Oryctolagus cuniculus: one gene and its partners. The protein of the gene in region 1 purifies or fractionates together with the protein of each later gene. This does not show direct contact. Links are inferred from orthologs where the notes say so. Each region holds a gene or a part of one and is shown on either strand. Other genes may lie near its edges.

Region 1 (7,044 bases):
TCTGGAAGTCTTTGTCCAGCGTCTGCAGCATCAACTGTACCGTAACTGGCCTTTTTAGAGTCCTCTTTCTGCCTCAGCTGGTAGACGGACCTAAACCACAATACAGGTCTGATGCTCAGAGAAGTAATTAGGTTAAGGTTGCGCTTAAAAACCAGATTTAAACAAAATCCTTGATTGCAGAGCCAGCGCTTCATAAGTGAGGCTTATTTTTTTTCCAGGAAGGGTGTAGCGGAGGTAGTCCAGCATGGATTTTGTTATGTTCACCAACGTTCTCGGGTTGTAACCAGAGATTGGGAACCACAGCGCCCCCGTCCCCCGCGAACTCACACTACTATGTATGCATAGTTTTAAGGAATTACAGTAGAACTTAATTCTGGGAACCCTTTGTTGGTTAGACATGGAAATAGATGCTAATCCTACCCCTAGTTTACAAACCATGTTGAGGTTTGTTAGCACTAGCATGCTTAAGTATCTATTGTGAATGGGAGTGAAGTGTAACCACGTAAATTTTTATTCTGGCAATAATTAAAACAGTTTCCCGATGGAGTGGGAGTAGATAATGTGCACGGTAGTGCACTTTAGGACTTAATTCTTAGCCATTTTTAGAGGTTTCTGGTGATTTTATAAACAATAATTCTTTTTTTTGGCCCTTTATATTGGAAGTGTCCTTGATTGTGTCTGTTGCCTCTATTTCTAATGTGCATCACTTTGGAATATTGACCCTTACAAGTTGATTCTTTTATGTTGGTACTTTTCTCTGTAGATGAAAGCTGTTCATCTGAGAAACCATTCTCATTGCTAATTTTCCACTATTGGGAGTTTAGATAGATAATTCCAGTTTTTTAAATGGTTGGGAATTAACTATTATATATTAGGCTTCATTATTGATATGTCTGCAGAAGTAGTAGTGCTTGTCTCAGTGTATTGAAAAATACTGTAATGAAAATGCAACTAATACAGACTTGTAAGGACCTTAAATGATTTTTAAAAATGAGTGTTGAGGAAACCAGAAAGAGACCATTCTTCCTACTCTGTGGTAGCTAAAGTAGAGGAAAACTACTTAAAAGGTTAGCTTTGTTAATTTTCTGCTTGTTAGAATTGCTTTTTTCTTTTACAGGTTGTGAACTAAAGGCTGACAAAGATTATCACTTTAAAGTGGACAATGATGAAAATGAGCACCAGTTATCTTTAAGAACGGTACTTAAGCTTTTAAAATAAACATTTCTTGATTTCAGCAATTTAATTGTCCCCTATTTCTCTGCTTATAAGAGTTTTTATGATTGGATATTGTATATACCTCATCAATAAACTTGATTAAAAAGCTGGGCATGTTCACTGCTACCTGGTAATCTGGTAAAGTCAAGTCACCGTTTTATTATCTTGCTTCATTTGAATCATGAAAGATCTCTAGGGTGTCTGCCAGACGAACCTACTCAGCTTTGTAGTGGGTGTTTAATAGGTGTTCTGTATAATATGTGTGCATTTTTAAGTATTTCTTCAAGTTTACTGAACATGAGAAATTGGTTTGCCAATCTTACTAAACTTGAAGGTAGTGTTGGCACAAGTTGGAAATAATGATAAAAGTCATATTTGGTATTTTTAAACACAGATTTCCGAGGCAGGATTGTAAAACAGTTGGAAATTAAAGTTTACAAACTGTTCACAGGTCAGTTTAGGCGCTGGTGCCAAGGATGAACTGCACATTGTTGAAGCAGAGGCAATGAATTATGAAGGCAGCCCGATTAAAGTCACACTGGCAACGCTGAAAATGTCTGTACAGCCAACGGTAAGGGTGCTTGGATTTGGGATTTTATGTCAGGATTTAGTTCTGTTTTAATGCAGGTATTTAGGTTACTACAAGCAGTAGTAAAAATTTTTTTAAAGATTATTTGAAAGTCAGTTACAGAGAGGCAAAGAGAGGTCTTCCAATGCTGGTTCACTCCCCAAGTGATCGCAGTGGCTGGAGGTGGGCTGATTGAAGCCAGGAGCTTCCTCCAGGTGTCCCCTGCTTTCCCAGGCCATAGCAGAAATCTGGGTCAGAAGTGGAGCAGTTGCCCATACAGGATGCTGGCAATACAGGCAGCGGCTTCATCCACTTTGCCACAGTGCTGGCCCTAGAAAGTGGAATTTTATTTGGTGCTTCTTTACCCCATTAGTCATAGCTACATGTTTCTGTCACTAGAGTTGAATGGTCAGCTGTTAAAAAGGTTTCTGCTGTTAAATAGAGGGGGAAACAGACTCACTGGTTTATTTTGGTGTGTGGATTTGCCTGTAATGCTGTTCTTAAATCTCCATTTTAGGTTTCCCTTGGGGGCTTTGAAATAACACCACCTGTGGTCTTAAGGTTGAAGTGTGGTTCAGGGCCTGTGCATATTAGCGGACAGCACTTAGTAGGTATGTTCTTTTCATATACTGCATTGTATATATATATATATCATATACTGCAGTTGCTTGGCTTCTGGTTTGTACTTAAACCAGGCTTGGTTATACTATTACTGTTTATAGTGAGTTCCAGTGAGAACCTTAAATTAATGATAGTAAGGGCATGTTTAACAACAAAATCCTTTAAAAAATTCTGTTGCCATTTGCTGTCCTTTTGTTGGATTTTTAAGTGTTCAGCATTCTATAGTATTAATCTTTATTTTTCCTGAATGATTCTTGTTTGAGTTTTAAAATAAATGTCTGATAATTTTATTTTAGCTGTGGAGGAAGATGCAGAATCAGAAGACGAGGAGGAAGAGGATGTGAAGCTATTAAGTATATCTGGAAAACGATCTGCCCCTGGAGGTGGCAGCAAGGTGCCACAGGTAGAGATGTCATTTCACTGCAGATTTGCATTACAGCCTTTGTTAGGTGGTAACAATCAGCATTTGCTCATAAGTATATTTTCCTTTTTAGAAAAAAGTAAAGCTTGCTGCTGAAGAAGATGATGAAGATGACGACGACGACGATGATGATGATGAAGAGTGAGTAGCATGCTTTTATGTGCATGGGTGGTAATTTTATGGAAATGATTTACCAGAGTTATTCTGTGCAATAGTTCATAATTAAAGGGATTCATGTGGTCAGTGGTTGTCAGCAAAAAAATGTTGGGACTGAGCCTTTAAAATGCTGCTGTGCATTGTGGCTTTTCCTAAGAGTAGAGCATGCAGCATTGGTAGGAATGGGAAAGTAGAGACAGAATCCTTCCATCTATTGGCTTACTCCCCAAATGGGCTGAACCAAAGCAATGAGCCCAGGAGTTTCTTCGACCTCCCATGTGGGTTTGGGAGCCTAAGCAATTGGGCGATCTTCCACTGCTTTCCCAGACCATAAGCAGAGAGTGAATTAGAAGGGGAGCAGCTGGGACATAAACTGGCACACTTATGGGATGCTGGCACCACAGATGGAGACTTAGCCTGCTGTGCTACAGTGCCAGCCCCAGTAGATTTACTTTTTAAAATGTAACCACAGTGTCGGAATTGTCCCTTTGTGTATATAGTAAGTAGATAATGCTTAGGGAGAAAGTAAAGTATGGGTGGTCCAAATCAGCACATTTTCGAATAGAGGAGAGGGTAGTCAAAAGCATGTGTGTGCTAAGGGACGTCATGGTTGCCTCAAGGGGGCTGAGGGTTAAGAGCATGGCATGGATGATGGTTAAGATGTGAAAAGATGAAATAGCCAATTGGCAGTAGACTTTGAACAAAGAACAAGGTGAAAGGGAGATCCTCTTTTGAGGATGGAAAGGGTATGGCACAGCTTAGTTGAAATTTATATCTGGATTCTATACTAGTATTGTTGGACAGTGTCTTCTGTACTGAATACAGACTTGATTTTTAATCTTTCATCATTTTTGTTAGGTGTAAGAAGTAACTTAGAGGTGATTTGGAGTATATGTATGTGTATATGTATGCGGACACTCTTATAAGTGGTTTAAATATCCCTGGATTGTGGAATACTTGGATCCTGGAATCAACACCCTGTGCAGCCATCACCTAAAAACAATTTTCTGTTTTTACATTTATTTGAAAGAGTTAAGGAGAGAGGGAGAAACAGATCTTAACATCCACTGATTTGCCCCCAAGTGGCTACAGCAGTCAGGGTGGAGCCTAGCCAAGAGCCAGGAGTATCAGTGAGTGGGAAGTGTCTAAAACTTGGCCTTTTGAAGTTTTTTTTTAAAGACAGATTCTTTTATGTCTTAAACCGATTTATTTTTAAAACTTTTTATTTGAAAGGCAGAGTTAGAGAGGCAGAGAATCTTCCATCTGTTCACTACCTAAGTGGCCGCAACAGCTGGAACCAGGAACTTCTTCTGGATCTCCCGTGAAGGCACAGAGGCCCAAAGACTTGGGCCATCTTCTGCTTTTCCAGGCCACAGAGGAGATGGATGTGAAGTGGAACAGTTGGGTCTTGAACTGGAGTCCATACGGGGTGCTGGCACTGCAGCTGGTTTAACCCACTGCGGCACATCACCAGCTCCTTGAACCTTTTCTTGGGCCGTTATCAGGAAGCTGTATCTGAAGTGGAGTAGATGCGACACCACGTCACTAGCTGCACAAATCATTTTAAAATGGTGTAACTGAAAAAATCATTTCCCTTAGCTGTGACTCCTCATGTTCCTCAACGAATGAACTTGGTCTTTATATTTGTAGATTTGCCTATTCTAGATGTTTCGGGTAAATGGTGACTGGAGGTTTAACTCTTCGGGAAAAAAAAGCCTGGCAGTTCCTCTAAGTGCCTGAATGATTCCTGCCAGTGGTGGGTTGTATACATACCTACCCCACTGGTGTATAGTATCATTGTGGTTTTGATTTGCATTTCCATGGTGACTGGTGATGGACATATACCATATGTATATCTTTGGAGAAAAATGTTGGTCAGATCCCTTGCTCATTCAAAAATTGCTAGAGTTCTTTATATTCTGGAAGCAAGTACCTTAGGTGATTTGCAAATACTTTCTGCCATTTTCTGCCATCTTCAGTAACTTGGTGGTAGCCTTTGCATAAAAATTCGTTTTCATGAAGTACAGAATTTTTTGCTTTGCTTTTGTTAAACCTAAAACACCGTTGCCAAATCTGAGGTCGTGAAAATATACTAGTAGCTTCAGCATTCATATAGGTCTTAGATTACTGTTTGAATCACCAAGTGAGAACCCTATGTGGTTTTAGGACAGATTTTTCCAAGGAAGTCAGCATTGTTGTAGGGATTCTGTTGAATATTGTCATTAGATTTAAGTCTACTGTGAATTTTTTGTGTCTTTAGGGTTTTTTTTTTTTTTTATTTTTTTTATTTTTTAAGATTTATTTGAAAGAGTTAAACAGAGCACAGAGAGCTTCCAACCACTGGTTCACTTCCCAGATGGCCACAATGGTTGGAGTTGGGCTGATCCAAAACCAGGAGCCAGGAGCTTCTGGGTCTCTCCCATGGTTCAGGGGCCCCAGAACATGGGCCATCCACTACTGCTTTCTCAGGCCATAGCAGAAAGCTGATTCAGAAATTGAGCAGTCAGGACTCAAACCATCACCTGTATGAGATGCTGGCACAGCAGACAGAAGTTTTATCCACTCTGCCACAGTGCTGGCCCCTAGCTATTTTAACATGTCCTCAAGATTCATCCCTGTTGCAGCATGGGACAGGGTTTCCTTAAGACTGAATAGTATTCCATTGTATGTTTACAAATTTTCTTAATCTATTCAGCCATTTGGACATTTGGTTGGCTATTCTGAAAAGTGTTACAGTGAGCCTGAATGAGCAAGTATGTCTTAGAGAATGCATTCAATTCTTTCACTAGCCTCCCCCCAAATTTTGGAAGTTCTTAAATATTTTCCCTTATTTCATTTCTAGTGATGATGATGATGATTTTGATGATGAGGAAACTGAAGAAAAAGCTCCAGTGAAGAAAGTAAGTACAGTGCTATAAGGTTGTCAGAAATGACAGCTTATCTGTTGTGTAGTGCATGGAAGGAGAGAATATGGCCTTGTACTGAAAACATTAAAGGGGGGAATGATATTCATGGCCTTTTCCCACAATTTGTTAGCCTTTGGTAACCTTCTGACGAAATGCTGCATTTATGGGATTTGGCACAGTTTATTTGAACTGATAGATTTTGTTGTGGGACCTCTGATTAAGAGTGCTTTCCATTTTCAGTCTATACGAGATACCCCAGCCAAAAATGCACAGAAATCAAACCAGAATGGGAAAGACTCAAAACCATCAACACCAAGATCAAAAGTAAGTGGATAAATGTATACAGTCAAGAGGGAAGAAATGCTTGTTATTCATTGTTCCATTCCACATACTGGAGAGGTGGCTCCTAGGATTCCGGGGGTAGGGGTTGGAGCCACCATAGCTTTTTGTTACATTTACATAAGTGGTTTCTTTTTTATTTTATTTTTTTTAATTTTTGACAGGCAGAGCGGACAGTGAGAGAAACAGAGAGAAAGGTCTTCCTTTTTCCGTTGGTTTACCCCTCAATGGCCGCTGCGGCCGGCGCACCGCGCTGATCCAAAGCCAGGAGCCTGGTGCTTCTCCTGGTCTCCCATGCAGGTGCAGGGCCCAAGCACTTGGGCCATCCTCCACTGTACTCCTGGGCCACAGCAGAGAGCTGGCCTGGAAGGGGAGCAACCGGGACAGAATCCGGTGCCCTGACGAGGACTAGAACCCGGGGTTCTAGGATTAGCCTATTGAGCCTCGGCACTGGCCACATAAGTGATTTCTTATAAGGCGTATGGATTTTTTTTAAGATTTGAGAGGTAGAGTTGCAAACAGGAGAGACAGGTCTTCCATCTGCTGGTTCATTCCCTGAATGGCTGCAATAGCTGGGCTGATAGGAAGGCTGGAGCGTCTAGGTCCCCCATGCAGGTGCAGTGGCCCAAACACTTGGGCCATCTTCCATTGCTTTCTTAAGCCATAGCAGAGAGCAGGGTTGGGAGAGGAGCAGCCAGGATACCAGCCGATGCTGCAGATGGAGGCTTAGCCCACTGTGCCATAGTGCCAGCCCTAGGATTATTCATTATTGAAAGTACACGTAGTGGCACAGAGCAGAGGTTGAGCCCTGTCTACAT
Region 2 (6,221 bases), on another chromosome or scaffold:
CCTGCCTCTGGACATGGGGCACTTCTCGGTTCTGGGCTCTGGGGGCTGCCCACAAGGCCCAGAGCCGAGGGCCAGCTCCGGCGGTCTGAGAACCAAGCTAAGCGGTGGGTCCCTGGGTCAGTTAGAACGCAGAGCGGCCTGGGAGTGCGGGAGGCCAGCGGCACAGGGGCCAGGCCCTGGCAGCAGGGGCAGGGAGGGCGCCTCTCCCCACCGCTGCCCTCACCTGGCTGTAACCACAGCTGCCGGAGGGCCACGGCCTGCTGGCTCCCAGTGTCTGGGCGGAGCCGTGGTCTGCCTGCGTCCACTCCGTTCCCAGCTTGCCAGGTCTGTGCCAGGCAGAGCCGCGTCGGCACGCTTCTTCACTAGGGCTGGGTCGGGCCAAAGCCAAAAGCCAGGAACTCAAGCACCAGGGCCATCGCCAGCTGCTTCCCAGGAGCACTGGCAGGAAGCTGGATCCCAGGCATTCCGACACGGGACGCAGAGCACGGGCACCACAGTGCCCGCCCCCGACCGTCCACCTTCTAACCAGACAGGCAGGCCAAGCTGGTGAGCTTGGACAGCTGCAGCCGAGCACTTCAGCGGACCCCAGGCCCCAGGGCCAGAATCCCCAGGACCCTCTCCCGGCAGTAAGTGATCTCTGCCCTTGTAGCACCGGGCCCTGGACCGGCCATTCCCAACACCGCCTCCCTGCACCCTCGGGACAAGCCTGTACGCGGCAGCGTGATTATCACCTCCACCCCCGCCCCTGCACGGGAGGGGAGGGAACGGTGGCCCAGAGCACACAGCTCACATGTCCCCGACTGCAGAGCTGATGAGAGAGGGGCTGCGTGTGGCCAGCCGGACCCCAGCCCAACGTAGCTTCCAGGGCTGCCCGAGTGGGCCCAAGTGGGCAGTAGCCACTGGATAGAGCCTTCCGGAGCATCCACAGGTGGCCACGCCGGCCTCAGGCACCCTGGGCAGGGAGCAATGGAGCGGGATCCCCTGCCCGTCACCCCTACCTGCTCAAGGGCCTCCCAGGACACAGATCAGAGGCCATTCCTCGTTCAACCTCCTGTCCACTACGTCCCACACAGCCAGGGGAGATCACACAACCCCAGCCACGTCCCCACGGGAGACAACTACCCCACGATCCAGCCACCGAGATCAGATCCCGGATTAAACGCCAGAGAGAGAGCCAGGCTTGGGCAGGATCCGAGGACGGCCCCTGAGGCACGCGGGTGCCGCCTATAGCAGGAGCGGTGGAAGCCCCTGCTGTGGCCACACCCCAGCATCGAAGGCATCACTGCCTCCGGAGGAAGGCACGGACAGCCCAGCGGGAGACGCCCAAGACGTCTCGCCCAGACAGCGAGACGAGCAGGGCAGGGAGTGGGGAGGCCACGGGAGCCCAGTGCCCCTCAGCAGCGGCCTGCCGGGACCCTGGGGCAGACCCCACGATGGCTCCGAGTCAGTTATTCCCACCCCGAGGTCCACGGCCCAGGGACCACGAGAGTAAGGTGTCCTGGGTCTCTGAGCAGCCACACCAGAGCCCCACCACGTGGAGCCGACAGAGCACTCCCCACACCCGCCCCTGGCTCTGGCTGCTGGCTCTGTGTGGCTCCCAAAGGCTAAGTCACGGCTTCATAGACACAGCTTCCCCGCGAGGACGGGGTCCCAAAGAGACGGAAGGGTTTTCAAAAACTACAACGAGGAGCCCAAAGGCTGGGCCTGCCCTTGGTCCCAGCCTCGCTTCCGGAGTGAGCGCAGCCACCTCCCGTGGCTCCCCCAGCAGGTACCTCCGGAAAGCACCCCGGTCCTCGGCCAGCTGTCCCGCCACATCTCTCCACGGCGCCTGCAGCACACGGGCCGAGAGCCCAGGGGGACCCCTGAGCAGAACCCCCCAGGGCAGCAGACAGGCCCACCCCAATGCCAGCCCCCGCACAGGGTGACGTGTCGCCACAGACCATCAGCAGAGACGACGGCCCACAGCTGGCCATGGCCGGGAGGTCATCAGCCCAGAGCTGCACGGCCAGGTCCCCAGCACGGGGCAGCTCCGTGGCCTCGTGGAAAGGAAGCCGTCCACTCGAGCAGCGCCAGCACCCCCCCCAGTGCCCCCCCACTGCGGGGCCCGGGCCCGGCCACCAGCTCTGCGAGCCACAGAGAGCACGAGGCTTGGGCCGCAGGCTCCAGGGAGTGGGACCACGGCAGCAACGGGGCAGCCCACCATGCCTGGGAGCCAACTGACCCTGCAGCCAACACGCACGGAGCCCGGGCAGTGAGGACGTGACAGAACGGACGCCAGCGTCTGCACGCTGAAAGTGCTGCAAACGTCCCGGAACCACCCACACACTCCCCGGCTCCAGAGCTTCGGAGCATACAGCGTCGGCTTGCGCGACCAGCGATCCTCCTGCCCAGTTCCTTAAACGGCGATGACAACGCCACGTGGGGGAAACAGATGCCGGCCGACCTAGCTCCCCACCCGCACCTCGGGGTCCAGGCTGCGGGTGGGGTGGGGGATCTCATGCACGGGGGACCTCATGGCCAAGTCCATTTGGGATACAAACGGGTTTCCGCAAGGCCAAACAGCTGGCCTGTGCAGTCCCACCAGAGTCCACGCCTCAGGAACGGGGCGCTGACTACGGGGGGGTGGGGGGGGGTGCCAGCCCTCTCGCTTGGTCCCAGAAGTCTCTGTTCACAGCACGTCAGGTGTCCCACAATCCGGGAAACAGCTGGCCTGGATTTCAGGAGGGCAGAGGGAGCCCCCAATGGTAGAACTCGGGGCCAGGGGGCCAGGGGGCCAGACAAGGGTGGGCGAGGCCGCTCCCTGGACAGCTCTGCTGGACACCAGGCAGAGGTGGGAGGACGAGAGCCCTGTCCTCAAGGCCCCCCGGGCTGCATGGACCCTGGGAAGTTCCAGAACACGAGGAGAGGGATCTGGCCGTAGAAGCCGTCATGGCGGGGAGCGCGGCCCGCCAAGCCGACACGTTCCAGCTCTGAGCACCGGAGAACGGCACAGCACCCGAGACAGCCCAGCTGCCGGTTTTAGGAAGGTTAACCAGGGCGCGCCATACAAAACACGGGCACAGGGAACGTTCCGGGGAGGCAGGGCAACTGGATGCCAGTGCTGTCTTCCACTCCAAATCCAGTCTTTCACGGAATGAGCACAGGCCTTGGAGCCGGGAGGGCAGGGACCCCCGCCAGGGCAGAGGCCACCCGCGAGGCCGCACCCCGATTCTCCCCCAGCCGCTCCCCTCTGGAAGCCACGTTCCCGCTGCACACCTGGAGCCACGGCCTGCGCCCCCAGAAGCCAGCCCTAGAACCCCGCTCGCTCGAAAGCCACCATGCCGTAGGGAGCACGTGGCGCTTCCCGCCCGGTGACCGCCCGCCAGGGTGGGCCACGCAAGGTGGCACCGAGTGGGGAGGGCGCCCGGGCGGGCGGACGTGCTTGGGCGGCTCTGAACGCCCCGTTGAGCAACTTCCTGAGGGCGCTGCCAGGCAGGCGCCGCCTGCCCATCCGGGCTCACAGAGGTGCAGCCCTCTGCCGAATCCGAGGTGCCTCCAGGTTGTTCTGGAAAGAAGGAGGAGGGGAGCTGTGACTCACCCAGTAATACACCCGCCCTGCGGCTGCCGCTGAAACTAGTTTGCATTATAGGGCTGGTCCCAAGCAGGCACGGGGGGCGAGCCGCGCAGAAGCGGCACCGGCCGCCCGGCCCCACGGCACCTCTCCAGCGCTCCCCGAGCTTCCAACGACCCACGAATTGCCAGGCTGGCGCCCCCACAGGCCACACATCATCTGAATTGGACAGCCAGCGGCCAGCTCGCCACAGGCCACTTAAAATGCAGCCCGCGGCTCTCCGCCCGACCGCCGCGAGCCGCCATCATGGACACGAGTGGAGTGCAGCCCATCAAACTGGCCAGGGTCACCTGGCTCTCAGGACAGCGCACGCAGGTGCGCGTGGAGTTCATGGACGACACAAGCCACTCCACCATCCGCAACGTGAAAGGCCCCGTGCGCGAGGGCGGCGTGCTCACCCTGCTGGAGTCCGAGCGGGAGGCTCGGAGGCTGCGCTGATGCCGCCGCGCAGGGGGTGAAAAAAAAAAAAAAAAAAGAAAGAAAGAAATGCAGCCCGCGGACACCTGCTGATGTCACTGTTTACTTCTTCAGTCCATAGATCAAAAGGCGGACCCTGAAGTGTGCACGGGGTCTAAGGGAACAACGAAGACGGACTTGGCACAGCCGGGGCCACGGAGATTAAAACAGCAGCAAACGGCACAGAGAGCCGCCCCGGCCCCTGAAGCCCCACAGAAGGATCCGGAGGCAGGAGCCAGGCGCCTGGAGACGCTGCACAGGGGGACAAGATAGAGCATTCCAGGAAGGTGCCGGGCAGCTCCCCACCTGCTGGCCAGATCCCAACCCCAAACTGCACACCAAAATAATAAATAAATCAGACACAGCAGTGCTTGATTGGAACACACACAACAATAAGAGCCCCGGAAGGGAACACAGGCAAACGTGCTTGCAGTCTGAGCCCGGGTGAGGGGCCTGCTACAGACCCGAGGGAAAACCTGGGACACAGACAAGAGCTGCACAACCGGACAGCAACTCAGCAGAGGTGGGCAGAGGCCAAGAGCAGGCGACTTGCAGAACCAGCAGTGAGGGAGGCGCGAACCAGAACGTGGTATAATTCTTAACCAACTCGGGACCCAAATGCAAGAACCCCAGAACCCGAGTGGGGAGGACGCGGCAGAGCGGGCGCCCCCACGGACAACGGCAGGGGTCACTCTGCCAGGGTGTGGATCTGCACAGCCTTCTGGGATGGCTGTCGCCAGCATCTTTAAAACCACAAATGGAGGCGCTGGCACCGAGGCGGCAGGTGAAGCCATCACCTACAGCGCCAGCATCCCATGTGGACGCCAGTGCGAATCCTGGCTGCTCCCACCTCCGGCCCAGCTCTGCTGTGGCCTGGGAAAGCAGTGGAGGACGGCCAAGTGCTTGGGCCCCTGCACCCACGTGGGAGACCCGGAAGAAGCTCCTGGCTCCTGGCTTCAGATCAGCGCTGGGGAGTGACCCAGCGGATGGAAGATCTCGATCTCTCTCTCTCTTTCCTCTCTGCTTCTGCCTCTCTGTAACTTTTCCTTCCAAATAAATAAATCTTAAAAAAAAAATAGATATGCACAGCCATCTGCAGTGCCGTCATCACCTATGGGCGCTGGTTCAAGTCCCGGCTGCTCCACTTCCGATCCAGCTCCCTGCTAACACACCTGGGAAAGCAGCAGAGGACGGCCCAAGCCTGGACCACTGCCACCCACGTGGGAGACTCGGATGGAGTTCCAGGTTCCCGGTGTCGGCCTGGCCCAGCCTCAGCCATTGTGGCCATGTGGGGAGTGAACCCACAGAGGGAAGATCTCTCACTCCCTCTCTCCAACTCTTTCAAATAAACAAGCCCTAAAAAGCAAATATAAACGACGTGTTCTCCCTGGGAACGTTTTCTCACAGGTGCACGGAGACAGCGAGGGTCACTGTGGCGTGCCGTCTAATAGCGAGAAAGCCTGGAGAAAGGCAAATGCCGGGAACGCCCGGTGCACCTGCGCGCTGCCAAATGCCGCTCGGCCTTTTTTTTTTTTTTTTTTTTTTTTTTTTTTGACAGGCAGAGTGGACAGTGAGAGAGAGAGACAGAGAGAAAGGTCTTCCTTTTGCCGTTGGTTCACCCTCCAATGGCCGCCGCGGCCAGCGCGCTGCGGCCGGCGCACCGCGCTGATCCGATGGCAGGAGCCAGGAGCCAGGTGCTTTTCCTGGTCTCCCATGGGGTGCAGGGCCCAAGCACTTGGGCCATCCTCCACTGCACTCCCTGGCCACAGCAGAGAGCTGGCCTGGAAGAGGGGCAACCGGGACAGAATCCGGCGCCCCGACCGGGACTAGAACCTGGTGTGCCGGCGCCACTAGGTGGAGGATTAGCCTAGTGAGCCGCGGCGCCGGCCGCCGCTCGGCTTTTGAGAAGCAAGGGTTCAGCTCCAGCCATTGTGGCCATCTGGGGAGTGAACCAGTGGACAGAAGACCTGTGTGTGTGTGTCTGTCTCTCTGTCTCTCTGTCTTTCAAATAAAATAAATAAGTCTTTGAAAAAAAAAAAATCTCCTTTGCCAAGGCACCAAGGACAAGGACTGTGCCCCACACAACCCAGGGTGGGCTGTGCCGGGCCAGCCGTGAGGCCTCGAAGCCAGACAATCCTGTGTGATGGCACCAGGC
Region 3 (7,582 bases), on another chromosome or scaffold:
TCCTTAAACCAGCCTGATCTATCATCATTTGTGTCCTTTGATCACTAAGGGCTGCTGCCAGGCTCAGCTCCAATCTTTCGATTAACTGACTGGTAAGAGGGTTCACTGGGATTTTCATCACAGGCGGGAGGAAGGCACCCCTGTCTAAGCAGGAGAAGAAGTGGTCGCTCACTGAACACAGCAAAGGCGACACCGTGCAACCAGCAGAGTGAGCCCGGCAGCTTGCCAGGCGAGCAGCGCCCTGGGACCACAGTTGGACGCTTTCCCCGCCGTGCCTCTGGGATGCTAGATAATGAAATGAACTGATGGCCCAGGCCATTTACAAGTTGAGCTTTGTGTTGTTTGCTGCTGAAAGCGATCCTAATGGAAACAATTAAAAGGCAACATTTGCCCCCTGCTGCCTATTGGTAGTCCTGGAGGGTGTGTACTCTGCCAGGGGGTTAAACAAGGTTGCTGGACAGAGGGAAGAACAGAGCTGCCGTGAGGGGATGAACAGTGAACCCAGGTTGCAATACGTAAGCGCGATGCCACAGAGAGCTGCACCTGCGGCTTTAGAAGCACTAAGGAAACACAGGCCTTCCAGGAGAGGGGCCGCTGGGGCTGAGTCTTGAAAGATACAGAGGTTAGAACAGGGCAGAGAAGTTCCATTACGAAGCAAAGCCTGTGCCTAGGAGTGGAGAGGTGGGACATGGGGTAGTGACAAGGACATGGTACAGGACGGTGCACTGTGCCATGTGCCTTGCCTGGAGTGCTAGCTTCATGCCCAGAGTTCAAGGACTCATCAGGCCAGGGCCAGCACCAAGCAATCTGCGTTGTCAGCAAGCTTCCAGAAGGTTCTGCTCTAGGTGCTCCTGTCCATGCTTGAAAGAATACTGGCTCCCCCCCCCCCCCGCCTTTTTAAGACTTCTTTATTTGAAAGGCAAAAACAGAGAGAAGGAGAGGTCTGCAGCCATACCACCCTGAATGCGCCTAATCTCAGAAGCTAAGCAGGGTTGGGCCTGGTTAGTACTTGGATGGGAGAGAGAAGGGGAGAGGGAGAGGGAGAGAGAGAGATACCGAGATCTTTCATCTGCTGGTTCACTCCCCCAAATATCCCCAACAGCCAGGACTGGGACAGGCTGAAAGGTCTCCCACGCGGGTGGCAGGGGCCCAAGGACTTGGGCCATCTTTTGCTTCTTCCCTAGGCACATTAGCCAGGAACTAGATTGGAATGGAGCAGCTGGGACTTGAACCGATGCCCATATGTGATGCTGGCATTTCAGGCAGGGGCTTAACCTGCTGTATTACAACGCCAGTCCCAACGTGCTGGTTTCTTGTTGAGGGGTTTGGACTTGAGTGTCACACAGGCCTGACTTTGATCCTCACTCTGCTAGCCACTTTGGGCAAGTTTCCTAAGCCTCAGTTTCTCCCACTGTACAACAGGGAAAATCCCGAGTTGCTATGAGTCTTAAATGAGAATGCACATGAGGCCAGTGCTGTGGCATAGAAGGTTAAGCCTCCACCTGCAGTGCTGGTGGGTGCTGGTTCCAGTTCTGGCTGCCCCATTATGATCCAGCTCCTTGCTAATGCGCCTGGGAAAAGCAGCGGAGGACGACCCAAGTGCTTGGGCCCCTGCACCCATGTGGGAGACCTGGATGAGCCTCCTGGTTCCTGGCTTTGGATCAGCCCAGCCCCGGGCTGTCGCAGCCATTTGGGTAGTGAACCAGGGGCTGGGTGATCTCTTTCTCCTTCTCTCTCTCTATCTCTGCCTTATTTATTTGAAAGTGAGAGTTACACAGAGAGAGAGAGAGAGAGCGCACTCTTCCATCCGCTGGTTCACTCCCCAAATGGCTGCAACAGCCGGAGCTACACCAATCCAGAGCCAGGAGCCAGGAGCTTCTTCCGGGTCTCCCATGTGGGTGCAGGGACTCAAGGACTTGGGCCGTCTTCTACTGCTTTCCTGGGCCATAGCAGAGAGCTGGACAGAAAGTGGAGCAGCCGGGTCTCGAACCGGCACCCATATGGGATGCTAGTGCTTCAGGCCAGGGCATTAACCTACTGTGTCACAGCGCCGGCCCCATAAATATATCTTTTTTAAAAAATAAAGAAAACGTACCTACACTAGTTCCTTGCATCTAAAGAGCAGTTCACTAAATGTTGGCCATTACAACAGTTTGAAGCAAGAAAAATGATGAGCCAAGAAAAACAGGGTTGGATCCTTAAGGGGCTTCAGTGTCAGGCTGGCATGGCATGGTGAGATGGGAATTTTAGGGCAGCTCCTGTGACAGAGTGGACCATGGTCTAGAAGGAGACCTGCCCCAGTTCAATCCAGTTGGGGGTTGTAAGGGCCTCACCCTGGGGGTGGGGCGGGGGTGGGGCTGATCCCTGGAGATGCTAAGCAGGGAGACCCTGTAGGGACTGGCGATTGAGAGCGGGGGTCAGGGGTCATAACCAGGAAGCACACAAGAGGGGTCCTCGGCTTCTGGAGCGGGAGGCGGAGTGGATGATGGTGGCATTGGGATCCGGAGTCCGTTGTCCGGGCCCACAGGCCTGTCTGCCGTCACACCACGCACGCCCCGTGGGTTCGTGCTGACTGCTGACTGGGTGCAGGAGAATCCTTTCTTCGGGGAGATCAAGTGAAGCTCAGTCTGCCTGCGGTGCTAAGGAAGTGGGAGTGAGAGTGGTGCGCAGAAGTCGGGCTGAGCAGGGACGAGAGGTGGATTGGGACTGGCAGCTAATGGGGTCCGGGCAGGTTTTATTCCCCCCTCCCCGAGGTGAAAGAGCAGAGTGTTTGTGGGGAAGAAAGATGTGGAGGTGGTGAGTGACAGGGCGAGCTCCTGGAATGCAAGAGCAGACAGAGGGCTGAGCGGTGAGCGGCGCACAGAGCGCACGTCCTCTGTGTGTGCGCAGATGTGAACACGTGGGCACAGGGGGACCGGAGGGCTCCCCTCCTGTGCTAAGTGGGACAACAGAACGCTGGTGGAGAGGGGGAGGATTAAACCCTGGGCCAGCCGCCGTGGGTAAGGGGAGAAGGCACTGATGGACGTAGAGCAGCTTCCAGCGTCCAGCGCCGAGAGCCCGCAGGTGTGCCAGGGGAACAAGCGTTGGTTCAGATCTGACCCGCATCAGTACCTTGCAGACGGGATAAGGGATCAGACTCTACAAGAGCACTGAGGGTGAGCCATGAGTCCCAGACAGTGCCAGGGCTGCCGGGGCGGCCAACCACAGCAGCACCAGACCAGAAGCAGCAAGGCCCAGACAGCTGGACTGAAACCATAGCTCAGCATCGCTGAGTCCCACGCCGCTGGACGATTTAATTAGGAGCCTTGGCAGGAAAGGTCCCTGCCACCAAGACAGAGCCCTTGGTTGTCACTGGAAAGAGGAGGGGGAAAACAGAACAATATTCATGGATAAGGTCTCATGGAGGCAGGTGCACAGGCACACGGAACAGCCCGAGCCAGGCAGGACCAACATCTTAGGTATTTACCTGTACTGTATCTTCATATAAAAGTTTATTTGCACCTACTTTAAAAGCAGAGCAACGAGAGAGAGAGAGAGAGAGAGAGAGAGAGAATCTTCCACCCACTGGTTGACTCTCAATGCCTACAACTGCCGGGGCTGGGCCAGGCCAAATCCAGGAGCCCAGAACTCCATCTGGGTCTCCATCGCCCGGTGCCTCCCGGGATGCATCAGCAGGATCGTAGCTGGGAAGCAGAACGGCGGGGCATCCAAGCAGCCCTCCCCCGTGGGAGGCAGGCGGGCAGCTCCGGAGGCAGCGGAACCTTTGCGTGGCGACGCCGGGCCCTGGCTGTGTTTTGTCTTCACGAACCGAGCTTCGGGCCGGGCTGCCTGCTGTGATCCTTTGTTTTTGATCAGCTCAGAGATGGGATCACCACAAAGCCTGTGTTTTCGTGTCTGTTGCCAGACCCTGACTTTACTGTGATAGAAAACTGTGCTCTGAGATGGTTAAGAATTCAGTTTATTCGTCCAGGGTACAAACATCATCCGAGTGCCCATGCGCACGGCCGGCCACCTGTGGCCCCAGTCGCTTCCTTCTGTGACGCTGTCACTGTGCAGGGGGCCGCCCTCCACCTGGTTCTGGGGGAGCACCCGGATTCTCTGTGCTTTCTCCCTGCAGCCCTGTGTGGCCAAAACGAACCCGGATTCTAAGCCATTAGCCGTGTTTCTTCGTCGGTGACAGTGAAGGTCTATTGAGTCCGCTGAACGAGGCCCCTTCACGCACGTTTCTACTCCGTCCTCACCACTGCCCTGTGAGCGGGTCCATCAATTTCCCTCTCTCGCAGACGAGGCTGAGCGACTCCCCCCACGGCGCCACGCTCCTCACGTATTCTGCAGAAGCGTTTGGCTTAGGGGAGCGAGAGCTCTGGGGAGGAGACAGCCGCTGTGCCTACCCTCAAATCCTTGAATGAATTCTTTGTGGCGGTCATTAGCTCCTTGCCACAGCACCAAGGGGTAGGGAGCTAAGGGTGCGAGTTACGCGGAGAGCATCTGCAATGGAACAGGTGTCTCTAGGCCAGCGCTGGAGCAGGGACTTCAGGCTGGAACCAGAGAGCCACAGGAAGTGCTTAGCAAAAACACTCGATCTCCCTTGGGAGCCGAGTGTTTTTAATGAAGAGTGGGGGGTGGGGGTTAAGGTCAAGGACCGGGAGTTTTGCTTCCCTAGCCACACGACAGAGCGCAGCGGGAGGCCGCGCGGCCCAACCTGGAGCCCGCCTGTTCCCCCCGCTGGGAATCGCGCAGCGGCCCCCGACGTCAGCCGCCTGGCGCACAGAGGCCGCCCGGCTCCCGCCCTCGTCGGCCAGTCCCGGCTGCCTACCCTCGCAGATCTGCTCCCACAGGTTTTTGCCCGGCGGCGGCGGCTCGGTGACCTGCCCCAGCGACACAGGCAGGTCGGGGGACACGGACGACACGGTGAGCGCTGGCGTCCGGGTGGTGCCGGACGAGTCGGCCGAGCTGTCCGGCTCCTCGCGCTGGCCACTGCGGCTGGGGATCTGCCGCGGAGCCGCCATGGACGCCGTTTCCACGGCAACCGCGTTCGCCTCCTGGCAGCGACCCGGAAGGAACTGGATGTCGCGGGGGCGAGCCAGCGAGTGGAAGTTGACTTCCGGGTCACGGCGGAGCGGGCTCTCACGTGGAGGCGGAGACCCTCGGCTGACGGGTGAGCGCGGTGCAAGGCGCGGCGGCGAGGGGCTGGAGACGGGGCTTGGGCATCTGCTGGCAGGAGAGGAAGGGGGCGAAGTGGCGGCGCCGCACCCCGAAATTGCCCCCTCGATCGGCGCTGCGAGCCCGCCCGAGCCTTAGGCCCCCGCCTCCAGGAAGTTGCCCGGGAGCAAGGCTCGCGGTGTGTTTCTGGGGGCGCTTGGAGAGGGGAGCCGGGGCGCCCCCGCGGTGAGCTTGGCGGGGTGGTCCGCGGGCTCCGGCGCCCCGCGGACGCGTTTGAACCCCCCGTTTTGCCACGTCCGGACCGGGATCTAGGGCCAGTGGACGCGTGGGACGTGGCTTGTGGAGAGAGCGCGGGCGCGAGGTGCCCCGGCGGTGGTTCGGTTCCCCGCCCCGCCTCGGGGAGAGCGCGGATGCGCGGCGGGCCGCGGGTTCCGAATGGCCGAGCCGGGGCGGAGGAGGGGGCGAGGCTGCGCGTCCGGCTCCCGCCGCGGCTTTGTTCTGCGCGATCCCGGGACGGCGCGCGCGCTCGGCTCCCCGGACGCGCCAGCTCCAGGTTTTCGCTTCTCCCCCTCCTTGGCGAGCGCCTGGCGGATGCCCACCTGTTGCGGCGGCGGCGGTTCCTGCGGCCGGCTCAGGTGCGCGCTGGGGCGTGGTTACCGTCGGTTTGCTCCTAAACTCCCCGCTTCCTCCTCCCGCCTCGGCACCCTGTGTCCACCCACCTGTGCAGTGAGCATCCCCACCGGGGCGGCTCCAGGCGTGTGTTCGCCGCAGCTGCCCCAGCTGCGAAGCTTTGTTCTTCAGAACTTTGCAGACTACTGGTAGGGCCGGTTCCTCGCCCTCCGTCGCCCTAACCTTGCCACGCTCTTGCTTTGGGGACTGTATCATCGTCGTCATCGGGGCGCTTAGCCTCCCGCGCCTACGGGTCGCTCGGAGGCCAATGTCTTGTGTCTGTTTCTAGCATGCATTCAGGCTCTGGGAACGCAGGGAATGCGTGAACCAGTGGCTGTTCCCTTGGTTCTCCCGGTGTTTCTGGAGCAGGTTATGAACGCCCTTTGAAGTTGCTACGAGTAAGCCAGATCCAGGGGGGCCCCTGTGGGCCGCAGGCTGGAGAAGCCCCTGTGCTTGGTTTCTGGGTGCCCTGGGTGACTCGGCTCTCAGCTGGCCCGGGGAGCAGCGGGGGCTAGGCTGCCGGCCGCGGTGAGAGGGGCCGAAGGGTGTGGAGGGCGCCCGCCCCTTCGCACAGGTGTCTCCATAACATTCAACTAGGGAGAGCCGGCTGGCTTGCTGTGTGTCATTGCCAATCAGTGAGTGCCAGCAATCAGCTTGAAGTTTCAGAAAGCGGGGAAACAGGTGTGCTGGCCGGATGTGGCCCCTAACCCTGGGGGCTTCTGGTTCGCTCTTTGTGGATGGGGGGCTGAGGTCGGGAACAGCCAAGGCTCTGTGGCAAGAGTGTGTCGGAGCCACCGGAAGCCCAGTGTTTGGGTCCTCGCTGGGGCTTCTTGCCCGTCCTTACCCCTGGTCTTGTGAGCCACACAGGAAGGCAGTTGTGAGGGGAGGTCACTCGGGGTGCAGGTGGGGGAGTTCATTGTTAGGAGAGCCCCGGATGCAGGCCTGGTTGTGGCCCCGTTGCTGCCTGGGCTGGGAGTCAGCAAGCTGACTGGTGTCTGGGATGAACAGCAGGCTTGGAGGTTTGAGGAAGGGGCTTCGAAAGAGGAATCGACAGTGTAGGACGTCCTTGGCGTGGACTGTTCTGTTTATTCCCCCAGAGAAGGAGTCGGTAGTGCCCTCCACCCCCATTTTCCAGATGGGGAAGTTGAGGCTCAGGGAGCTTAGGGTTTTGGTTTTTTTTTTTAAGGTTTATTTATTCATTTGAAAGGCAGAGTTAGAGAGGAAGAGACAGGTCTTCCATCGGCTGGTTCACTCCCCACGTAGCTGCAATGGCTGGAGTTAGGCCGGGCCAAAGCCAGGAGCCTGGAATTCTTATCTGGGTCTCCCGTGTGGATGGCAGGGGCCCAAACACTTAGGCCATCCTCCACTGCTTTCCCAGATGCATCAGCAGGGAGTTGTATCAGAAGCAGAGCAGGAGGCCGGCATTTGTGGTGCAGTAGGTTAATCCTCTGCCTGCCGTGCCAGCATCCCATATGGGCACTGGTTCGAGTCCCGGTTGCTCCCCTTCTGATCCAGCTCTCTGTTATAGCCTGGGATAGCAGGAGAAGATGGCTCCCTGCACCCGCATGGGAGACTTGGAAGAAGCTCCTGGCTCCTGGTTTTGGATCCGCCCAGCTCCAGCTGTTGTGGCCATCTGGGGAGTGAACCAGCGGATGGGAGACCTCTCTCTGTGTCTCTACCTCTCAAATGAATGCATAATAAATAAAAACAAAAAAATCATTCAAAAAAGCCGAGCAACTGGGACTAGAGC

The links. Proteins that work in one complex are often made in the same cells at the same time.
Region 2: the proteins of NPM1 (region 1) and small ribosomal subunit protein eS28 purify together in Homo sapiens (affinity purification with mass spectrometry; 3 studies listed by BioGRID and IntAct, with this or other methods). This does not show direct contact. The link is inferred for Oryctolagus cuniculus from reciprocal best matches to the Homo sapiens genes NPM1 and RPS28.
Region 3: the proteins of NPM1 (region 1) and KNOP1 purify together in Homo sapiens (affinity purification with mass spectrometry; 3 studies listed by BioGRID and IntAct, counting the BioPlex papers as one, with this or other methods). This does not show direct contact. The link is inferred for Oryctolagus cuniculus from reciprocal best matches to the Homo sapiens genes NPM1 and KNOP1.

Annotation. Positions count from the first base shown.
Region 1 is NC_091437.1:58,116,097-58,123,140, forward strand, and holds part of NPM1 (nucleophosmin), read left to right. Parts: intron 1-1,117; coding exon 1,118-1,197; intron 1,198-1,666; coding exon 1,667-1,786; intron 1,787-2,300; coding exon 2,301-2,394; intron 2,395-2,700; coding exon 2,701-2,807; intron 2,808-2,898; coding exon 2,899-2,966; intron 2,967-5,823; coding exon 5,824-5,881; intron 5,882-6,127; coding exon 6,128-6,211; intron 6,212-7,044. UniProt on the Homo sapiens protein: Involved in diverse cellular processes such as ribosome biogenesis, centrosome duplication, protein chaperoning, histone assembly, cell proliferation, and regulation of tumor suppressors p53/TP53 and ARF.
Region 2 is NC_091432.1:4,207,769-4,213,989, forward strand, and holds small ribosomal subunit protein eS28, read left to right. Parts: upstream 1-3,577; 5' UTR 3,578-3,856; coding exon 3,857-4,048; 3' UTR 4,049-4,421; downstream 4,422-6,221. UniProt on the Homo sapiens protein: Component of the small ribosomal subunit. The ribosome is a large ribonucleoprotein complex responsible for the synthesis of proteins in the cell. Part of the small subunit (SSU) processome, first precursor of the small eukaryotic ribosomal subunit.
Region 3 is NC_091450.1:21,652,304-21,659,885, reverse strand, and holds the start of KNOP1 (lysine-rich nucleolar protein 1), read left to right. Parts: upstream 1-3,482; 5' UTR 3,483-4,608; coding exon 4,609-5,158; exon of another isoform or gene 5,159-5,341; intron 5,342-5,559; exon of another isoform or gene 5,560-5,798; intron 5,799-7,582.